Drosophila melanogaster: one gene and its partners. The protein of the gene in region 1 interacts with the protein of each later gene in a pairwise test. Each region holds a gene or a part of one and is shown in the gene's direction. Other genes may lie near its edges. The genes, in order: Pits, CG3225, Mps1 and HHEX.

What was found.
Region 2: the proteins of Pits (region 1) and CG3225 interact in a two-hybrid assay, tested with the Drosophila melanogaster proteins (one large-scale study listed by BioGRID).
Region 3: the proteins of Pits (region 1) and Mps1 interact in a two-hybrid assay, tested with the Drosophila melanogaster proteins (one large-scale study listed by BioGRID).
Region 4: the proteins of Pits (region 1) and HHEX interact in a two-hybrid assay, tested with the Drosophila melanogaster proteins (one large-scale study listed by BioGRID).

Annotation. Positions count from the first base shown.
Region 1 is NC_004354.4:12,579,873-12,585,235, reverse strand, and holds the start of Pits (protein interacting with Ttk69 and Sin3A), read left to right. Parts: upstream 1-2,042; 5' UTR 2,043-2,685; coding exon 2,686-3,664; intron 3,665-5,363.
Region 2 is NT_033779.5:4,814,684-4,820,087, reverse strand, and holds CG3225 (uncharacterized protein), read left to right. Parts: upstream 1-1,842; 5' UTR 1,843-1,921; coding exon 1,922-2,050; intron 2,051-2,114; coding exon 2,115-2,206; exon of another isoform or gene 2,207-2,272; coding exon 2,273-2,366; intron 2,367-2,424; coding exon 2,425-4,146; 3' UTR 4,147-4,172; intron 4,173-4,196; exon of another isoform or gene 4,197-4,230; 3' UTR 4,231-4,305; coding exon of another isoform or gene 4,306-4,408; 3' UTR 4,409-4,464; downstream 4,465-5,404. Other genes in the region: CG15629 (uncharacterized protein), read right to left, coding at 4,306-4,408, 4,465-5,065, 5,201-5,318.
Region 3 is NT_033777.3:17,668,910-17,674,459, forward strand, and holds Mps1 (monopolar spindle 1), read left to right. Parts: upstream 1-2,361; 5' UTR 2,362-2,461; coding exon 2,462-2,658; intron 2,659-2,940; coding exon 2,941-3,948; intron 3,949-4,011; coding exon 4,012-4,567; intron 4,568-4,639; coding exon 4,640-4,897; 3' UTR 4,898-4,919; downstream 4,920-5,550. Other genes in the region: CG14322 (uncharacterized protein), read left to right, coding at 1-86, 147-218; CG7523 (uncharacterized protein), read right to left, coding at 488-717, 1,157-1,433, 1,496-1,628, 1,746-1,888.
Region 4 is NT_033777.3:21,075,921-21,082,798, reverse strand, and holds HHEX (hematopoietically expressed homeobox), read left to right. Parts: upstream 1-1,872; 5' UTR 1,873-2,115; coding exon 2,116-2,605; intron 2,606-5,403; coding exon 5,404-5,885; 3' UTR 5,886-5,937; downstream 5,938-6,878. Other genes in the region: dmrt93B (doublesex-Mab related 93B), read right to left, coding at 6,001-6,201, 6,467-6,878.

The DNA of each region.
Region 1 (5,363 bases):
CAAAAAAAAGACAAAAGGAACGAAAAGAACTTTAACTAGAAAAATTGTGGTTTAAATATTTTTTGATAAACAGCGTATATAAATGTATTTGTATATCTATTCCATAATTATATAGATAAACGTATTCCATGTTAGTGCTTAAATCTAATTTATTATTTATCGATTCTCGACCCATTCACCCCGTCCCCTCATTCCAAGAACAATAATTAACAATGCTAAGAAACAAACTTTTTTGTATTGACGAGAATAAGTCTAACTCCTATAACTAAATATATAAGAATGTTTTTGCTCAAAGGCAATTTTAGTTGTAATTGATACGAACAGACATACAAACACACACACACGCTAACTGTTATACAAATGAAACGCACACGCTCAAGCCTAATACTGTTATACTGTGTACTTTATATAGCCATTATATACCTAAACCTATATACATATAGGATCGAAACGCTTGCAATTAACTGCTTACATAAGACATTTGAGTCGGGCCCTTGTTATACGGACGTATGCCAGTAGAACAGTGGCCGCGCCGAACCGATCTAGCATTTAACTATCTATATACAACAAATATGTGCGATATTTTTTATATGCAGCTAATTTAATGTGTTGTATTTTGACCCCACACCACCTTGTAACTACGTTTATACGCCTGCTTTTCGAAAATTGAGTAACGCTTATAGAATTTTCGATTCAATTCTTTATGCCTTTTAACAGTTGAACATATATAATCAGTATAGCAACATTTTCTACCCACTTGTAAATAAGTTTATAACTAATGCAGTTTTTGTTGCCTACTTATTCGGGAGTCGAAAGGTCTGTAATTACAAATAAAGCTTGTGTATAAACGTAGTTCGTAGATTCTCTTTTGATTTTAATCTTAAAACATTTTTTGTTAATAAAAGAGGAAATTAAAAAAAAACTTTTAAACTTTCTAGTGTCTTTATTGTGGAATTTTAATTTTGTGGCAATTTAAAGAATATTTTTATATCTTTAATTGAGCCAAACATTTCATAAATAAAATCTCAAATGAAATGTTAAGAAGCGAGTACAGTTGCGCGTGCACGGACATAAACTTATGGCCGGGACTGTATGGAAAGGTGGGGGTGTAAGGAAAGGACCCCGTTTACGAGGTCGTTGCTTGTTCGTGTGTTTCTGTATCTGGTGGCTCCTTTTTCCGCATTTCCTTTTAACAGGATGTACGCACAGATACGGAATTTGTCCCAGACCATGGTCGGGAAATCGATTCAGGCCAAACGCCAGGAATACGAACACCCAAGCATTTTCGCCTATACATATGTACATATATGCAACGATATGCATACACATACATGCTTGCAGTTTGTGGTCCTGCGCAGTGCTTTACGGATGTCCTTGTTTTTTTTTTTTTTTTTGCTAGGAATGAGGGCTTTTAATTTCATTAACAGTTACAGAGCTCTGTTAAGTCAGCTGTTCGCCGAGCGAAAGAGACGGAGCATACCAGATTCAAGGTCTACATAACTGTATCCTATGTACATACGTTCGGTATCTATACGAAAAACGGATGTGTATCCACGAACTTTACATGGTATACTTACAGGCGGACTTTGGGGGAAGGACTTCGTCACTAGATTCCGTTTCGTGAATATGACGTGCAGGCACGTACGCTGGCAGGGTCGTAGCCCCAAAGGGGGTTAAAAATAAAAATAAATATTATTTTTAATTACTTAAACAGCCAAAAGGGTTTATTTTTAATATTTGGGCGTAATATTAGGAGCAATATATTAAAAGCTATATATATTAATACGAAATAGTAGAATTACTATGCTCAAAATGATGCTAAATTTTAAAGAAAATTTAAAATTTCCTTAGCTTTATCATGGTTGAAGTCTTCGCTACAGTCTCAGCCACTTTGGCAACCCTGGTTGAAGTCCACTGAAAGGTTCGTGTCTCTGATATAAGCCAGTATTTCAGGTATTTTCTTGGTATTTCCCATTGCGGCAGCGAAGATTTTTTAGTACATTTCGCTTGGCCCCTGGGGTATATTCTCACATACCAGCCAAGGCCACACTCTATCAGCAAGCTGTGTGGCGTCCGGTCGCTTTTTCAGTCATTCGTTGCGTCGCTGCGATCTCATCGTTCGTTTTGTTCCTACACGTTTTTGGCGTCGTCGTACATTTACGTGTCCCGCTTACTCGCGCGCACCCTCTCTCTTTCACTCTGCGGCGCGCGTGCCTAAGTGTGGTGTGTGGTGTGTGTGCCTGTGTGCGTGCGTGTTGGCGAGCAGCGCGGCGCAGCACAATAGAAAAGAAGAAGAAGAAGAAGCTGAAGCTGAAGGAAAAAACATAAGTGAATTTTTTTCGGGTGGAAGCGCGGTGAAATATGCGTGCGTGCGCGCGTGTATATGTGCGTGTGTGCGAAAATCAATACGAAAACATGAATAACAAATGCTAAATAAGAAAAATAGCTACAACGCACAACCGAAAAGAAGCTGAAACAAGAAAAAAGAAAGCGAAAAAAAAGGAGAAAATAATAAATAATAGGAATTGGGAATCCAGCAGGAAGGAACAGTTAGCCATTCCAGTGAGCTAAAACAGCACAAACCCATTTCCAGATCCAGCCCATCCAGGGCTTCCAATTGACAGTTGCCAATTGACAGTTGACAGTTGCTAGTTGCCAGTTGACAGTTTCCAGAAACGCAGCAGGATGTCGCTGCAAACGAAAAGGCAGCACTGCTATCTGTGCGATTTACCCCGCATGCCCTGGGCGATGATCAATGACTTCTCGGAGGCGGTGTGCCGCGGTTGCGTCAACTATGAGGGCGCCGATCGCATCGAGGCGGTGCTGGACGCCGCCCGCCAAATGAAGCGTCTCCATCCCGCCAGCAAACAGCAGCGTTCCCATGAGAACGGCGAAGTGTCCGCCGCTGCAGCGGCCGCCGTCGTCCTACAGCAGCAACAACAGTTACAAGTCGGTCCAGTTCCGGGACAAGGACCGGGTTCCCATCGCGGCGGAGGTGGCGGCGGTCCACCGGGTGCTCCGCCCGGAAGTGGTGGTCCAGGTCCGTCGGGCGCCGGTTCGCTCAGTTCGCTGGGCAATGCCGTTGCTGCTGCCGCCGCCGCTGCTGCAGTGCATCATCACCATCAGATGCCCTATCAAATGCCAGTGCCACGCATCGGTCCGCCACTGGACTATCCCGTTAAGCTGGAGGATGCCCCCGGTGGCGGCGTACGACCCGTACGCATTTCACACATGACGCCCCACCACCTGCCGCCAAATGCGACCCGCGGCGGTGGCGGTGCACCCGGCGGCGGCGTACCCACCGCCGGCAGTGGCGGTGGCAGCCTACCGCCCGCCCTATCCGTGAATTTAAAGCGTCCGCCCAGCGAGGATGTCGATGTGGATGTAAGCCAGCAGCAACAGCAGTCGGGACACGGCCTGGCGCCAGATGGCAGTGCTGGCAACTCCCTATCCGCCGGCGGAGGCGTATCCGGCGGTTGTCCGCCCGGCATCAAGCGCAGCGCCATGGACGATCCAAGTGGCGTGGGCGGCAGACCGCCATTGACGCGTGGCGAATCCCTGCCAGCGGCGGTCAGCTATGTGCCCGAGCGTCAGCTTAGCGGACTCCGTGATAAGCAGCAGCCGGTCAGAGCGCCCAGTTTCGATGCATCGACCTTCAAAGCAGGTGAGCAAACATGACATAGATCATTCAAAATACTTGGCACAGTGGTTACCCAATAGAAAGAACTTTGCTGCAGCAAGTAATGGGAAAATTTTTCATTTGCAGTAGGGATTCGGGAAAAGCAGGAGTAGTTTCAACTACCTTGAAAACTACCTTTCATAATAATTAGAGTAAAGTGATCAGAGTCTCAAAAGTGCCGCGTTGATAAATATTTGGCTTTATAAATGATAGTACAAAACACTATCTATCGTGGTGGAAAACAGATTTGGGATAATCCCCTATCAGTGATGGATTTCTTATCACTTATAGCGATCGGATCGAATCGCCAGTGGGAAATACGCGATATGGATTAAAAAATGGAGTGACCAGGGGGATGTTGTTTCCCAGCCACAGTGAACACTTGATATCTTCTAAAGTATATTTTATCAAAATATTTCAAATACAAAACTCTTCGAGGGGTGATATTTCAGTTTGCTTTGATAGCCAATGTCAAACAAAAATAAAAACTTGTTTAAACAAACAAGTGAGTTAGAGGAAATTTTTTTTTGCTAATTTCAATCTAAGATTTGCTGGATAAAATTAAACACTATTTTATCCTCCGGAAACATAGGAAATTTGCTTAAATCCTAAGTTTGAAAAAGTTGGCGGCCACTGTATTTGTTTACCGTTTCTTACCAATCCCCCGCCTTTTTTTTTTTAATATGAGCCGTGATCGCGGGATACAGAGCACTGTTTCTGCCTCGCTCTAGCCTGGATGTGGGTGGAAGGTCGTGGTGGGGGAGTGGGAGGAAGAGAGGCGGCGATATAGTGGCACACATACCGCTTATTCAGGGCAGAGTGAAACGGCGTGATTGCCTGCTCCTTATCTCTCCTTACTGGAAGGCGAGCTAGAAGAAGACTGCGCTTCTCATGTATATGCACGTACACATTTACGTTTGCATGGATGATAAGGAGCGTTGTGTTGGAGATTAGATAACTCATTTGCTTATCAGCGCGTCCTTATCGCCACCCAATGCGTATGTATAACTCACACATACACGCATACGTGCACATGCATGCATGTACATTCAAACAGAAAAAGAAGCGTATAAACGCATTTTGCAACCCTCTGTGGAAAAAAGGGGCTGCTAACCCTTGCCATTAAAAGGCATGCGCACATGCCAATATACATATAGGGAATATACATGTGCATGTACCGCGCAGACACACACGCGCACACAACTACGTGTTCGTTTACATGCACGTACGTAACAGTCGCAATGGCAATAACAAAAAACGGCGAGAAAAAAAAGCGCAAAAAGCACACGAAAAAAGGGCCGCAGAATGTAATATAAACAGAGACGTGCAAAAATCGTCGACGCTGACGTTGTAATGTTCTCGCTCTCTATCTCTTTCTCCCTCCGTCTTCTGTCGCTTTTCTCTTCTTTCCAAACTGGTTTCGTGCGCTGGTGTTGGTGTGTGTACCTTTTGTTTTTTGTGTTTTTTCTTTCTTGTCTGCGCGCGCAAAACGTCATTAAACTTGTTTTGGTTTTCGCTGCTGCTTCTTCTGCTGTTTCTCCGTTTTACGCTATGCGATAACAAGTTGCACACACACACACATACGCACACAGTCGAACCTGGGTGTAGATAAATTTTAGTTGGTATACGAATTACGGAACGAGCTGCAGTGACAACAACAAAAAGAGACACTAAAGACAAGATG
Region 2 (5,404 bases), on another chromosome or scaffold:
CTTTGCCGCCCTGCCACATGCATCATGAATCACGCAAATTCGCGGCACGCAAAGACAATGACGCCAGCCCCTTTTCGCACCACTCGCTGGGTGTCGAGGACGCACAACTCCGGCGTTTGTAATCAGGGTCGTCAACGCGAAACTATAGTTATAATACGTAGATAGAACAAAAGGAACGTACCCTCCACTGGCATTTCCAAGGAAACTTTGCTCGTAAAAGCCGGAATAACAGTTAGCATTCATGCCGCCCTTTAAGTTTTGTGGCATTTAGTCAGGTGCCCAAAGACGGGGGAATCGGAATTTGGATACCGGCAGTGGAGTGCCGACAGCCGTTTGACAGTAAAACTCTGGCCTTGGGCGCATCTATTAAAATTTATATGCAACCGAAACTGGAACTGGACGCCAAACGGACAAGATACACACTGTGCGAAAATGTGACAGCCTCCCATAACCCGCAATGTAACTAAATATTCACTTAACTACTATTAAGTGGGATAGAAGGCAAATGAAATGACTAATCCATATGCACAGCGGAAATTATTATATTTTAGTATTTGCAATTTAAGATGTAGTACTAAATACTGAAGCATCGTTCTTAACACTTTTCGAAACTATAATCTTTCTCATGTAGCGAAGATACCTCTTTACCTGTGATGCTGATATCAGCTTGAGTGGAAAGTGAAAACATTTTTTCTCAGTGCCTTTTAGTTGAAGCACTTTCCGCGGACGGCGGTGTTGACAAACTGCTCGCAGAGTTTTTGGCTTTCGCTTGGCTTTGGCGACTTGGCGCCTCGTCCTTGGCATGAAGTTCGCCGCTGGCCTTTAATTAGCTTTTCTCGGATTACTCATACGCCATGGGGGCTGGGCTCGGGTCGAGTGGAGTGGAGTGGAGCTGGGCTCCATTGTTTCAGCACTGGCATGCGGATGTGGTTGGTCAAACGTGCATGTCGGGCACGTGTTTTGCTTTGGCTTGAAATTGGTGGTTGGGTTCGGATCGCATCGGATGGGGTTAAAGTTAAAGCGAGCGTTCTTAATGTCAGGGTCAATGCAGAATACGGGGGTCCTGCATGTGTGGAATCGACGGCCATCTTACTCGTCCCAATATTGGCGGCATGCATATAATACCCACTGACGGTGCATAAATCAAAATATATACAAAAAAAAAAATACAAGCGGGCAAAACAATGTGTGTGTTTTGTTGCTCGAGAGATACAATACAATATTTATTCAAAAGCAATTGGCCGGGCGCTTCTGTCGCCGACAGCTGCACAAAACTCGGGGGACACTTTTGACACACACACGTGGCCAGGGCGACCTTATAGTACATAATGAGTTTGCTGGGTATGCAGAGGAGCAAAGTGGCCTTGCCACTGGCAATTAGAGTTATTTTCACTAGCAATAGGGGACATGTCGGTGCTGCAACGTGCCCGCAAAATGGACAAAAACATGTGCATGAATAATACAGGTGAATGTTATGGACATTTGCCACCATTGGGGCTCGTGAAATGGTCGACTAAATCAAATATATTATAATTTGTGGGTACCAAAGGTATAAGCTTGAGGTACTAGCCAAACAATTTCTAAAAACTAATATTTTGCATTTTTAAATCTTAACTAAAATATAGTGAAATTTGATTATCCTCTTTTCTTATAGACCTCAACTAGGCGACTGTATACTTAGTGATTAAGTAAATACTTAGGTTTTTGGGCAATTCAACTTATTATATAGTTGATGGTTATCGTTAATCGAAATTTCAATACAATGCAATTTCCCGCCAAATAAAAGTGTGACCATTAGTTTATATTAAACGAAATTCCTAACATTCTTTTGCGCGCTTTGGTATTTTGCACCAATGCATTGAGTCCATCAGCTGTTTATTTAATTTCAAAACTGAATCTATAACGAAGTAAATAATTGAAAATGAGCACTTTTAAGCCAAAGTTCCTAAAACCCGAGACGGACGATGCAATCACAGATAGTGCCGGTGGTGAACAGCAGTCCTCCGCCTTTGTATTCAATGTCAATCACAATATGGGACTCATGGAGCAGGTGGGCTTACAAAATATTTCGTAAACATTTGCTAGAATAACAAATTAAACTTAAATTATTACAGAGGGAACGTTTGCCCATTCGTCAGTACCGGGATCAAATACTTTACTGCTTGGAAAAGCATCAAGTGGTCATACTAGTGGGTGAAACAGGCAGGTTTGTATGGAATTCCATGAGCTTCAAAGTAATGCTTCTAACTCTGTGGTTTTTCATATTTCCCAGTGGCAAGAGCACCCAGGTGCCACAGTATTTGTATGAATGGGGCTGGCACACCAAGGGACTCATTGGCATCACCGAACCACGACGCGTTTCCACCGTAAGTAATCCTAAAGCAAAGCAACTATAAAATCTAAAACTAAAGACTTCATTTCCAGGTTACGCTGGCTAATCGCGTGGCACAGGAACGCGGCGAACTGGTAGGTGACACGGTGGGCTATGTAGTTCGCTTCCTGGAAAGCATGAGCTCCTGTACCAAAATCAAGTTCATGACCGAGGGCATCTTGCTGAGGGAAGTCCTAGCCGATCCGCTGCTCACCCAATATGGTGTTATCATCGTGGACGAGGCGCACGAGCGGAATATGCTCACCGACATGATTTTGGGACTGCTCAAGAAGATCCTTCGCAAACGCAGCTCGCTCAAGCTCATCATTTCATCGGCCACCATAGATGCAAGCTTCTTCAGCGAGTTCTTCAGCTGGCCAGGATCGGGCGAAGTGAGCGTTAAGCTAAGCATTGAAGGTCGCATGCATCCTGTGAGTAATTTCTATCTGAACGAACCCTGCGCCGATTATGTGAAGGAAACTGTGGAGACCGTCTGGAAACTGCATCAAAAGGAGCCGCCTGGCGACATTTTGGCCTTCCTAACTGGCCAGGAGGAAGTCCTGGAGGCGCTGGATCTTCTGCGCGAATACATCGCCAGTTCGGAACAGGAGAATCTCAAGGTGCTGCCCATGTATGGTAGTATGTCGAGCACTGATCAGTTGTCGGTATTCTTTACCCCGCCCAAAGGAACCCGCAAAGTGGTGCTGGCCACGAATATAGCAGAGACCTCCATCACCATTCCGGGCATTGTTTATGTGATAGACTGCGGCTACGTCAAGGTAAAATGGTACAATCCCAAAACCTGCAGTGACAGTTTGGTTATAGTGCCCGTCAGCAAGGCGTCGGCCATCCAGAGAGCAGGACGAGCGGGTCGTATGCGTCCCGGCAAGGTCTATCGTTTGTACACTAAATCAGACTATGAAGCACTAGCTCCTCGGCAGCCACCCGAAATGCGACGCAGCGAATTGAGCGGCGCTATCTTGCAGTTAAAGGCGCTGGGCATCGGGAACATATTGCGCTTTGATTTCCCATCGCCACCACCGGCACAGAATCTACTTTCCGCACTGGAGAGTCTATTTGCCTTGGACGCCATCGATGAGCAGGGCAATCTGACGAAGCCCGTGGGTTACCTGTTGGCCGAACTCCCCTTCAGCGCTATGCTCTCCAAAATGCTCTATGTTTCCGGTCAGATGGGCTGCTCCGAGGAGATCATAACCATCATTGCGTTGCTGCAGGTGCAGTCTATATTTTCGCGCCCAGCTTCAGCGGTTGCCCAACAAAGTGGACGCATTGCACATCGAAAATTCGAAGTTGCGGAAGGGGACTTTATTACGATGTTGAACGCTTACACTGGCTTCGTGGAGGAGGGCATGACCAAGGAGTTCTGTGGCCAATACTTCCTCATCTACAGGAATCTTAAGAGGGCCCACTCGCTGAGGGAGCAACTCATCACAGTGGCCAGAAAGAAGTACGGCATTCCAATCTTCTCGTGCAAGGGCGATGTGGAAAAGTTGTGCAAGTGCATCACCGCCGGCTTCTTCACACAGGTGGCCTATCTGCATCACTCTGGAGTTTATAGACAAATCAGCAGCGGCACTGAACTGGCCATTCATCCGAACTCCACTCTCTACACACTTCCTCAAGCTCAGTACGTGGTCTATGGGGAACTGCTCCAAACGACGAAATTGTTCATGAACTACGTGACCGTAATCAAGAGAGAGTGGCTGACGGAGCTGGCGCCGCATTATTACCAACAGACCACAGTGCGGGATTAGCAGGAACTAAAGCCTTAATGATAGGTGTAAGTCTATTAAAATAGTTCATTAAATCAAATAACTAAGTTTATTGTAAAATTATAGGTGAAACGATGCCGCCTCTTGAAAAAGAACTTAAGCTTAGGTAATGGATTCCATATGATGATTCCTATTGTGTGTTTAACCAGCGGCGACGCGCCCTCGTCCCTGAAACATCATCATAGACTCGGGTCCACGGATGACACGCGACATCAGCTCCCAGCACATTTTGGCGGGCAAAAGACTGAGAAAACCAGCATTAATTACATTGTATATAACTATGTTAAATAGACTACTTACCATTTGAGAGGAGTGAGCAGGCGAATAGAGTTGGGCAGCACGCACCACACCTCGTTGCAGCGCACGGCGTTCTCGATGCGATCCGCCACATACTGCGGCTCCAGCATGGGCATCATCCGCGGCCGAACACCCGAAAACATGCCCGTGTTGATGTAGTACGGGCAGATCAAACTCATTTGGATTTGATCATAGCCATGGGCCTTCAGATCGGTGAGCAAACTCTCGTGGAAACCGATGCAGGCGTATTTGGTGGCCGCGTAGTCACTGCATCCGTAGGTGCCCAGCATTCCAGTTACCGAGCCCACAGTAACGATATGACCACGATTATTGCGCATCATGTGAGGCAGAAACGCTTTCACGGTCCAGTAGTGCGATATGATGTTAATGTTGTACGTGTTCTGGATGACCCGATCGTGCAGCTCCCAGAAGGGTTTGCAGCACACGATACCGGCATTGTTAATCAATATGTCGACGGGACCAACCTCCTCGGTCACCTGGCTGGCACGCTGGTAGATCTGCTCCCGATCTGAGATGTCCACAACGTAGCCCTTGCAGTTGTCATAACCATGTTTGGCCAACAAATCCACAGTTGTCTTTATGGCTGTGCGGAAAATTATGATCAAATATTGTTTAGCTAATCAAATTGTAAATGTAACAGCTTTCACTAGCCGTCGGGTTTTTTGACCCGCCTGGCAGAAGCTGTGACGGCGTCATTAGCAACTAGGTGTGATTTTACCTTCTTGATTTATATCCCAGATGACAATGCGGGCCTGAAGGCGAGCAAAGTTTAGGGCAATCAAACGTCCAACACCACCGCCTCCTCCTGTGATGAGCACCACCTGGCCGGAGATGTCCTGTTATGGATAATAATGAACAAGCAATCGTTTATTATAATATTGAATTTCGCATACATACATATGTAAGCAAACCTATTTAGCAT
Region 3 (5,550 bases), on another chromosome or scaffold:
TCCTGAACAAGATTACCGGAACTCAAACTGGTCGTTTCGCTGGCGCTGGTCGCATGGTTTTAGCCCTTTCGGTTGTAGGCGATAAGGTAAGTTATTGTATAATATTTCCAAAGTCGGTATTCAAATGTTTTACTCCAATCTTATAGATCGTCACATCTTCGAAAGATAACTCGCTGGCGATTCTGGAGGTGCCCCCCGCATTGGTAAATGGCTATTAAGACGCGTATCATCATTGATATAAATCTGCTTTAATTTAATCATTTTTACACACAGACTTGTTTGCATAATACAATTTAATGGTCATAGTCCTTGATTGCGGATTTATAATTCGTTCTCTGTATTTACAATTGAATATTACATTTTTTGCATTTTTGCAATTGATCTACTTGAAGAATATTTCTTCGCCATGAACAAAGTATAAACGAATAAAAAGAGAACATCCAGTAAAATTATGATACGTAAAATTATATAGTTATTTGATTTGTCTTTAAGGAATTTGTGGTGCCCTCACTGGTCGCACGTTGGTCTGCATTTGATGCAGTTTCTGGTTGAGCTTGTGTGTATGGTCACGCAGATAGGCGATAAGGTCGGCCTGCTTCTCCAGAAGCTCTTCTGTGTCGCCTCCTGGTTGCATGAGGCCCAGGGAACCGCCGGCGCGGTCCGCACCACGCAAAACATCCGGAGCCAGCTTGGCGCTGTTGAACTTACGCACCTTGTCTGAAATGGGTAACGAATTTTTAGCCATGTCTATGACAACTTTTATACCTGAAATTACTTGGTTCTTAATCAAAAATCTTTCGCTTTGGAACCATAAGAAAGAACGAACTTAATTAGTGGCTGTACTGAATCACTTCAATTTTAAATACCTGGATTATTTAAGCGGCTCTGACTCATTTTTTGCGTATTACAATTGCTTGCAAGTCACTTAATCAGTTTAAAAAAAATACCTAGCCATCCCGACTACTATATTATGTCATTATATAAACTATTTGAATAAAATGTTGCCCATCGTCATTTCAATATATATACACACAGATATATTAAAAAAATGATGATAGCTCGATCTGTCATAAAATAAAATAAAAATAAAAGTCATACCATGACACTAAGTAGATTCCCTCACTATCGCTGACTAGATACTATGTTACTTCATTACCAATATATAAGCTGTGGGAAACGGCCAGCACCAGATTCTCGGCCACGGTGAAGGCGGTCACATAGCTGACCGGCGACAGCCACCCGGCGGCGCAATGTTCCCAAAAGTTCTCCGCATAGAAGTGGTGGATTAGGGCCTGGACAGCAAGCAGCATGGAGTTCCACAGGGATACCAGCTGAAGGGGAATCCCCTTCTGCATGTTAGTCTCGCGGTGAAAGTCGTGATAGCCCTGCATGCGTAGATTGTCGTGTTGCTTCTTTACGAAGTGATCGAAGAGCTGTAAAAACCGTTGACATTGAGGCAGGTCGGGATTGACAGACTGCTGATTGGTATATTTACATATGTGATGACCCAGAAGGTGGCCCGTAGGTAGAGCATTATAAAGTATGCATCGCAGCGCCGATCGGTTGGAAACGAGGCTGCAAGTACGATCCCCACAATGGAGATTGCAGTGGAGATAACCAGATGAAGGCTACGGGTGGACAGAGAATGGATTAAATTATGTGCATTATCGGTCGTTTGAAAGCTCCATGGATGATTCACTGCCGCCGGCTGAGGTCTCTCCCCCGTACACCGCATAAAATCTCACCTAAATGCGGGCACTGTATTTAGCTTGTAGCTTCCATTGTCGTTGGAGAAGAGGACGGGGTCCAGGAGCTGATCCGTGTCGTGGATGTGCGCTGGGGACACGCCCGGTTGGACAGCGGCGCCTCCAGTTGCTGGTTGCTCCATTTGCTCTGCTCTAGAATGCGTAGTTTTCGAACTATTGCTGCTTTGTTTATTTGTCGGCAGGAAAACAACACTTATTTTCCTTGGATGTGGCAGCACTGCCAAAATATTGCTTTTTTCAGGGTGGCAGCTCTGTGATGACCATGAAAAACAAGACAACCCTAAAATGTAAACAATAAACTTACTGTTAGAATTTGAATATCTAATTTATTTATTTAAGCCATTCTTACTTTTAAATCATTTTGATGTATTTTATACATCACTCTCCCTCACTCAAAGAGTGTGCTTTTATATTTGCTTGTTGTCAACACTAAATTATAATTTAGGTAGTTTTCAATATTTCTTAATTTAAAATATTAAACATTTATTTAAATCCTCATTTTCGTTTAATTATTTTAAAACTTAGCCTTCGGCTACTTAAGTTTTATTAACTATTAAAGGCTTCATTCAGCGCGCTTTGGATGTTTTAAATTTTGAACTTTGGTCACACTTGAATAAAAAATAAATTTAAACCCCGCATTTGATTTGCAATTGGATATTTAACTATTTGTCGGGCAGAATAAATCGGGTTGCAAGATGACCACGCCTGTGCCCCGCCGCACCAAGGACATGATGGCACTGGGACTGGACTCCGACTCCGAGGACGACTTTAACACGCCATACCGACCACGACAAGCGGCGGCGGGAGAACGAAAACAGCAGCCGGTGGCGTCTTTCCAAGTCCAAACGAGGGGCAAGGAGAACGAACCGCATCCCCTGCCCATAAATATGCTGTAAGAACTGGGACAGCAATGTCCAGTATCGCATGACATCTCCTGTTCTCCATACATAAGTCCTCCTGAGTCTGCAAGGATCTAATTTTCCATGAATTCTTTCAGGAATCCTAGATCTTTTCTTTCCAAATTGGTCTGTCCATCGAAACTAACCTGTATCTTCTAGGCTTAGTATATACCCTAAAAGTTAATCTATATTAACCCACAAGTCGAGGGATTTTTGTTACAAGATCACCTAGAAATGTTCATTACTTCTACATACAACGTTTTTATCGATTCTAGACCTCGCCGAGTGTCCGAGTTGACTATGATGGATTCGGACAGTGACGAGGAGGACATCAAGAGCAATCACAACCTTAACTGCGCCATCCTAAACGATTCCTTTGTGCTGAGCCCATCCCAAGAGTTAACAAACAGCAACAGCAACATAACCACTCGTAGAACACCAAGTGCCGCCCCCCTTAAGCAATCCGATTCGAATCTCTCGTTCCTGGGAAGATTCAACGACATGGGCATCAATTGCAGCAGTCAAGGATCCCCTGTTGCGAATTCGGAAAAACAGGTGGCCAAAAAGACAGCACCCACGCTTCAAGCTGCACCAAGTGCCACCGAAAGGCGCCCACTCCAAGAGACAGAGACGCCACTGCGTAATGAATTACCCTCCACCTCGAAGACGAAGCCGGATGCAGACTTCATTACCCCCCAAGTACGAACAATTGGTTCCACACTGGCGGGAAAAAGTCGGAGTGCGGTGTCCAATGACTTCCGTGCGCAGAAAGTGCTCTTCCAAACACCTATGACCGTGAGTCGTGCTGCTCCAGTGGCCTCCGATAGCATAAGCTTCTCCCTGTGCGACACCATCACAGAAAGCCCGGACATTCCGGAGCCTCCGAAAAAGGCAGAACCACCAAAGAGTCAGCATCCTTCCAAAAAGTCCCTAGATCATGTTTTCCGGGAGTCGGACAAGGATAACGTGCCAGACAAAGTGGATAATGTGGAACCAAAGGAGCTGGTATCGATTCCCGCAGTTGCTGTACCTCCAGAGCAGCCTTCCCACAAGACATCTAATATTTTAAAAATCAAGAATCATGAGTATACGATTGATAAGAAACTGGGCTGTGGCGGCTCCAGCTCTGTTTTTTTGGCACGCCGATCGGATTCCGGAAATGAGTTCGCCCTGAAGGTGGTGGATCTGCAGGCCGATCCACAAGTGGTGCAGGGATATCTAAACGAAACCAAACTTCTGGCAAAGCTACAAGGGAACGTTTGTGTTGTGGCACTTTACGATTAGTAAATATTTCTAAATACTGACTTCTTGTTAACGTCACTGTTTAAGTACTTTTTTTTCCTTAGTCAACTTGTGCGCGAGGAGTCCAAGCTGTACATGGTGATGGAGAAAGGTGACTGCGACTTGAACAAGATCCTGCAGAGCTACACCACCAACCTTCCTCTCTATAGCCTGATGAACATCCTGTACCAAATGCTGCAAGCGGTCAACTACATTCACCAACACGGTGTCATCCATTCGGATCTCAAGCCGGCAAATTTCCTGATGGTCAGCGGCAGACTGAAGTTGATCGATTTTGGCATAGCCAGCAATATCGCTGTGGACTCGACGAGCATCATCAAATTCTCGCAGGCGGGCACCTTTAACTACATTAGTCCGGAGGCGTTGACGGACACCTCCACGGGGAATAGCCCGATGCGCAGAGCCGATCAGCCGAAGATCAAGATCTCGACCAAATCGGACGTGTGGTCGCTGGGCTGCATCCTTTACCTGCTACTCTACCAAAAGACACCGTTCGGCCACATCCGAAACGTCTATGCCAAGATGAGTGCAATCACCACACCGGGCACCAGCATCGAGTATCCTGCCATTCCGCCCTACTATCCCATCATGCTGGTTCATGTGAGTGTTGCGCAATATGAGGCTTTTAGACTAACATAAGCTAACTAAAATTATAAATAAATTGAATCCAAGTTTACAACTGTCTCTGCTCTATTTGCAGATGGCCAAGAACTGCCTACAGTTGAATCCCAAAAAGCGGCCGTCGTGCACCGAACTACTACAGTACCCATTCCATATGATCATTCCGCTGCAGAACCTGCAGATACCCAGCAGAACCGCCAACAGCAATTAAGCACGAAAGCTCAGCTATTTATTAGTGAAATGTCAAAGGTCAAATGTCTTTCTCATATGTGTGTGTATATATTTAATTCTCATTTTATCGTAAATTAAACATCATAAATCCTTATAATGCTGTTATAGCTCGTTCTTTTGTTTGTTGTGGTTGCTGATGGGCTTGAATTTGTTGGTTTTCCTAATTTTTCAGTATGTCGCATGCAACAGGTTCCGACAATAGATTGCTAGTTAGCATTCGTGTTTAATTTGCGTTTACTTATAAGATAGGTTCTCATTCAGTTTTATATAAAAATAGTTGTTTTCTTGTTTATTTACGCTTAATTAAATGTTGCTGCTGCCATTTGCTCTTCCTGGGATTAAATACTTTGCGCTGCCTGGCGGCGGAAAATTAAAAGTTAACACAAAAACAGAAAACATGAATGGAAAACATACAAAATTCACAATGGCCCAAGTACAAGAGCATACGTACATTCATACTATTATTTTGTTTATTTTTTTGTGGATTTGCATTTTAAGTAGCTGGGTTTTAAATTCATTTGCTTAACATAAGATACATATACAATTGTTTAAAGCGCGTTTTTAAATGCAAGTGTAACACAAAAATAATAATCGCATGCAAAGTATGTGTTAAATAATAATTAGAAAGTAGCAGCAGCAATGGATTTTTCGCGGTTTTTCCGGGTTGGTTTGCTTTTTATTGGGAGGGCTTGGGTGGAAATTGCCTGTTTCTGTAATCAGAGTCGGACTTT
Region 4 (6,878 bases), on another chromosome or scaffold:
AATTTCGAAGTCATTTCAAACCGTTTGTCTCCTGATAATTGCTAATAATTTAGCCTCACTTGACGACCATAAGCCCCCCAGGCCATGGCTTCTTATCGAGCAGTAGGCCTCGTCAATGTCTCGAATTGGTCGCATTTAGTTATCGCATAGCACCGAAAAACGATTTTATTTTTATCACCATTCACCATTCATTATTAACTATTCATTATTATGTTATAATTTGTTTCTGTAAAGTACAAAATACTTTTTGAATGGTCATTACTTACCATTGAGAGCTTCCTTCTGACCAACCATCAGACCCCCGAATACTCTATTCGAACCATTCATGTTGATAAATTTGAATACTCACCTTGTGATATGTCACAAAATGGCCGTCAGTTGGGTTTTTCGGGTGCAAAACGTTATATCGATGGGATTTTGTCGGGGATCACACAACTGACTATCAGTTAGCAGAGCAACAAGTGTCTGCTCATGATGAAGCGTCGAAGTGATATGTCCGGGGATTACAAGTGCACTCGGTAGCATGTTGTATGGGCTTCCTTTCCTTCATATCTTGGAAAGCAGGCTTTGCATAAATTAGTTTCCTAAATGTTTTAATCTCTTTTTCAGTCAAGGTGCTTTCCATTAAGGTATATCAATTATTATGCGAACAGAAACATAAAATATAATATATGTATGATGTTCAAAGAGTTATTTTTAAAATTTTGATGTCATAAAATTTTAATCACCAATCGATTGACTGTAGTTTACTGCCCCTTTTCAACGAAGAACCCCCGAAAATTCTATTTGCAATTCATTAAATCACTTTTCAGCGAATCATATCAAAAGAAATAGGTTTATTGCCAAATATCACATGAATTTGAGTCATTGTCATATGTAGTGAAGTCATACAGTTTCGATTGAACTCCTGCCAATTTAAAGTAGTCACCATTTAGCAAAATCACAAAACTTGAAGAACTTTTAACTCTTTACTTTCTACTCATCGTGTGAACCGAAGACATGATAACATCCTTTCCACCAGCGGAAACTAAAGATTTTCATTGTTCCCGAAACTCGTCGAGGCCCAAAACTTATCTCGAAGGTACCAATTTCTGGGGCGACCTGAAAAACAACATCAAAGGGGTATCTATCAGTAACAATAACAACAATTAAAGGCATTTATGGGCTGTGCGTTTTCCATTTTATCACCCGGCCCAAGCCGAAATCAAAAGTAATCCATCATCTGAGAGGCTTTACGAGGAGCCCGAGTACAACTGATAAGACACCCCGAAACACCTATCCATGCCCCAGGTATACAGACGCATATATTGTTCCCAAAGAGCAGAGAGGGACGGCACCATGGCCGAAATCATAACACAAACTCGATTACTCAATCAAAGCGATGGCTCTCTGATGGTGTTGGTAGGGGGTAGGGTGGGGGGTGCCTTTTGGGGCAATTTTAATTTGTTTACAACAACAATCAACAGAGTAAAATAGCCAAACAGTAGCTGAGAGCTGAAACCAGGTAACGATACCGATAAGGGGTGATTAACAATTACTCGATCAAACGCACCGACCCGCCGAGTGGGAGGCGTTCTGGGGGAGGGTGGTTGGGTGGTTGGGTGGTGGGTTCGATGGGTTGGCAGCTCAATAAGCGGGCGAGCAGGGACTGTGATTTATACAACGATCGCCGATTGGGTGTCCAACCGCGTACCGATGTCGAGCTGTCGCCGCCTGCAATTGGAAATTGGAATATGGGTATTGGGTATTGGGAATAGGAATCGAGTGGAGTGGAGTGGAGTGCCATCGAGGCAGTGGAGCGCCTAACCAACCACCACTCGCTTATCAATCGATGGCCGGTAGCTCGGCACTATCTCCCATGCGCGGCATATCTACATACCGCTCTATTATTGTTAATATTGATATCTACCCATTAGCACAACATTATAGGTACAATCTATTATATTCTGTGAAATCAGATTTGGTACAATTTATAGCGCCCATGGGCTCTGCGACGGCTCCTACAGCTGGTGGCCATTAGTTCATCGCCTGCGGCCGACGCAGTCGCTTCGATCGCTCCGGACCCAATCAATCGGTATCTACAGTTCGTTACTACCGCTCTCAGAATCCACCAATATGGATATCGCCACCAAGTCCAGCAAGGCCGCCTTCTCCATTGAGAATATCTTGGAGCAGAAGAGCTCCTCGCATCGATCTCAATCGCGCAGAGGCTCCTCTCAAAGTCCCGTGGCGGTAACAGCAGGCATAGCTACTCCACACGCACTGGCCATGCCCAAGGCATCCTTGGCCACTGGATCATCCTCCGCGGCGCCTACACCCTCTCCATCGTCCGCCACCAACATCTACGATCTATCCCGCGAGGCAGCTGCCGCCCAGTATGCCATGAAGAGTATGGACTCCAGTGCTGTCCTGGCTCCCACTTCGCTGCGCTTCAATCCCATCTACCCGGATCCCGCCTCGCTCTTCTACCAGCAGGTGCTGCAGCTCCAGAAGAATCCCTCGCTCTTCATGCCCCACTTCCAGGCGGCCGCTGTTGCCGCCGCAGCCGCTGTTCAGCCAACAGCCTATTGTGATCAATACAGTCCATTTACCATGGACTGCGAAGGTGAGTACTTCAGAATACCTACTTAGTGGGGTTAACATGTATTTTAGTTGGGTGTTGAATGTCCTAAAAGATAAAGATTCATTTTCAAGATAATTGCTTAATTTTTGTGGTAATTTATGATAAATCATTCACTAAAATAAGGGTGCATGAGGAGAAGACATTACAAATTTATTATAAAGTTATGGTATTTCCACAGAGCTATAGAAAAGGTATAGAAATGAAATATTAAATTATATGCAATCTAATCTCAGCAAATTCAAAAGATTGTAAAGCAGTTATAAGGCCAAGAAGTATAGTATATTTATTCGACATTATGAATGAAGACAATACAGCATTTCTTTATTAAAAAAAATTCTAGAATAAGATCAAAATTATTCAATTATTCGAGCTGTATACATACATGCAAACGCAGTTGAAACCCTTAGGTCAAGTTATTGACAAGCTCATAAAATAATTGACTAATATATTAATTAATGCGGTTTTGAGAAATCTATTAGCCCAATGATGTCTATCAACAATTTAGTCGTTTGACCTCATTAGCATATTTCATCATACTATCAAATGACCGGAAATGAGTCACCTGAATATGAATGAATAAGCGCTACAATTATCAATTAAACACTAAAATGCAGATAAAGGCAGAAGCATTCTCAGAGTATGATATGTTAAATCCCTATTCTTAAATTCTTATTCATGAAGCTTGGAACCATAGTTTCTATTAGACTTTCTCACAGTTTTTAGCAAAGACTAGGATTGATTCGACACTACCAAGTTCAAGTCATTGAACCTACCCATGCTGACACCTTAATCTCGCTCATCAAGTTGACACATGGAAATTGATCGCCATGGGAAAGGTGTTGCCTGAAATCCCCATTTAAATACCAAATATCTAAGCTAGCCTAAGTCCGAAGTGCCCGGACCACCGAATATTACAATGGGGATCCCACACAAAATGGGCCATAAACATGATTAATGTGTGTGTGTTGTGGTGCAGTTGGGTATTTGTCAAAGTCAAGTGTTGGCGCCAATGCCACTCGAAATCACATTTTCCCCGCCCCAAAAACTGCATTTCCCGGTTGGTTTTCTGGGCGGTGGTGTAACGGTAGATTAGCCCTAGCAATGCTGATAAAGTCAAAGTCCCGAATTCCATCCCCTCGCAGTACAAATGCCCCATTCAGATCGGAAAATATTTCGGTGGCTTATCAGAAGTGACAAATATTTGAAATTCAGGTGAGAGACAGCAGAAACTATATCTATGGATATTTAAGTGACAGTTAGTTTTCATTGAAAGGCATTGAGCTGTTGATTTGGGAAAATCGAGCTGCTGCGAATTAGACGGACTGTGAGAAATCATACTCATTTAAACCTTTGGATAACACACAATTATCACAGGCAGTATCTTTCGATATAATTGTAGTGAAATAGGAAGGAATCAATACAACATTATAGTGGAATGGAATATCTAAGTGCACCTTTCTGTTCCCAATATGCCCGTCTTGAGGATATATCTATGATGAGTCCAACTGAGTTAGGATCATACTACGCCTCAAAAAAAAAAAAGGAGTATTGATTAGCTTGCTCTATGCCATACTGATCACACAATGCAGATAGGAGTATCGTCGTGTATAGGGCACTTCAACTGTACTGCTATCCCGATTTCCGATTTGTTTGGCTTATCTAAACAAAAATGCTATTAGAGGCGATTAATAGGCGCTGTCCATCATCTTATAGCCACGATTGCCATTTGATTACGATAAGCCCGTCCGTTCCCGACACTCGTTCCACCTGGACAAGGGGCAAATGGTTAGGGGCGGAGGCGGGTGTGGTGGTGTTGGCGACAAGTACCTGATATGATATTATTCCTTCAATCGGACACGCACATTATAAAATAATAACAAATCCAATTTTCAGCGATTAAATGCCGCTGGGAAGAAGATAAGGGTGCTCTGCGGCCTTATCACTCCCGAATACGCCACTTAATAAAAATAAACATGAATAAGTCTATTTGTAACGATTTAAATTATGGCATCTGCAATCGGATGTTATTTATTTAATGGCATTTGGCCATTTCCAAGGGTTCTTGGCCAGATCGCCTCACCAATGAGGTAACTGGGTCCCCAAATATCAGCTTAGTTCAGCGATGGAGCACACTCCAAATATGCGCCAAGTGCGAATTTCCGTTACCTTAACTAAAAAAAAAAAAAGAGGCCACCTTCCTTATCACATAGGTGTATGTACATAGGTGCAGATAGGTTCGCAATCGGATTGCCGTTCGGGTGCCAATTGATTTCGCCCAATTGCTACGAAATCTCGGCGTACAGTCGATCCATTTCGCAATGGCCACCATTCGCAAGTCGTCATCCAGTTACAAGTGGGCGTTGACATATTCTCCGATACTGATACAACACCCATACACTTGTACCACTCGCAATTGTTGTGTCCGATTACTTTGATAAGAGCGGGTGGGCGGAGATAGGGAAAACCGGGCCAATGGAGCCACCAATCACAATCCAATGATTGCGCCACTTTATATCGGGCAGATGGTTCAAAATCGTTATTCAAAGAAATCGATTGTCCTCGACTTTTTCATGGCAGCTTTTGATAAACTCTGAAGTGGGTCTATAATGTCATTAGTTCTTTAATTAAGATCGTATTAACAATGAAATATTTAGTTTAAATATTTCTCATCTGATATAGGAAACCCTTGTTCACAAAGTGAAGTGTTAACAATAAGTTAGTTCTGTAACCTCTTCAGCAATTGTAATCTAAAACAAACTGTCTTCCTTTTTAATCCATAGGATTCCCCAATCCTGCCTCCGCTGCAGCCGCCCTCTACTGCAATGCCTATCCGGCGGCCAGCTTCTACATGTCGAACTTCGGCGTGAAGCGAAAAGGCGGCCAGATCAGATTCACCTCCCAGCAGACCAAAAATCTCGAGGCTCGCTTCGCCAGCTCCAAGTACCTGTCGCCGGAGGAACGGCGTCATCTGGCCCTCCAACTCAAGCTGACCGACCGCCAGGTGAAGACCTGGTTTCAGAACCGGCGCGCCAAGTGGCGACGAGCCAATCTCAGCAAGCGCAGTGCATCCGCCCAAGGACCCATAGCAGGCGCTGCCGTGGGATCACCCTCCAGCGCCTCGAGCAGCAGTGTTCCCGTGTTGAATCTTGGCAGCGGAAGCAGGTGTGGCCAACAAAGCGACGAGGAGGATCGGATGTATCTGTCCGAGGACGATGAGGACGACGACGAAGACGAAGGCGAGGCGGATGAGACGCCCAAGTGAAGCTAGAGGATGGCCCATTGACTCATAAGTTAGTTTAGCTTGTAGTTAGGATAAATAAATTTATTTTATTAGAACTATAGTTATGCGAGTTAGTAAGTACTAGATGGGTGGTCTCCTAGTGGAACTGGTAGCTGTCCAAGCAGGCGCAATTGGGCAAGGTGCATCTTGGCGCCAGATTGGAGAGGTGACCCATGGTCACCGGAAAGGATAGCGGCACAAACCACTTGGGGTACGCACAAATGGCCGCTGCCGCCGCCGCTGATGCACTGCCTCCAAAGACCGGCGGCTTTAGCTCCACCACCGATTTGCTCTGGTACTGAAAGGTAAGATTTTGTATGTACTTAAATAAATATTTCATTAGGTACTTCCTACTTCCATGGACCACGCAAATCGTGACTTGATTGAATTCTGGAAGCGGAAATACAGACCGTTGAACTTAAGTAAAAACACAAAACACCTGTTACAGATTTGCTGTATACTATAGAATATAATACTATAGAAATAACCGGTATATTCACTTAAGTACACTTATAACTAAAAGGTACTTTATACAATTTGCACTATGCAGTTAGGTCGCTTACCTGATCTGTTATCACGGGCCTAAAGGCGCTGCTCCTGGGCGGCGCGGGCTGTGGCATAGTGGTCAACATGCCCGGCTCCTGGCTGGGCAACTGGTTGCTGGTGACATCCACTGGCGAGGACTTGCCAGTGGGCGAGACATTCTCAATGGCCCGAATCAGATCGAGATCGCAGCGCTTGAGGACCAACTCCAGGACAGATCGCTTACGCTGCGGAAAGAGCTGGGCAAGCATGTCAATGGCCGTTTGGGAGACGTTATCTCTTCGGGGAGCACTGAGATCCTGCGCCACCGCCGGCGATTCGCTGTACTCCTCCTCCCTCTGCTTCAAATGCTGCTGCTCCACCTCCGAAATGGTCTTCTCCACCTGATCATCCTCCCGCTTGGCACGCGGCGAACTAGGCTGCGTGACGGTC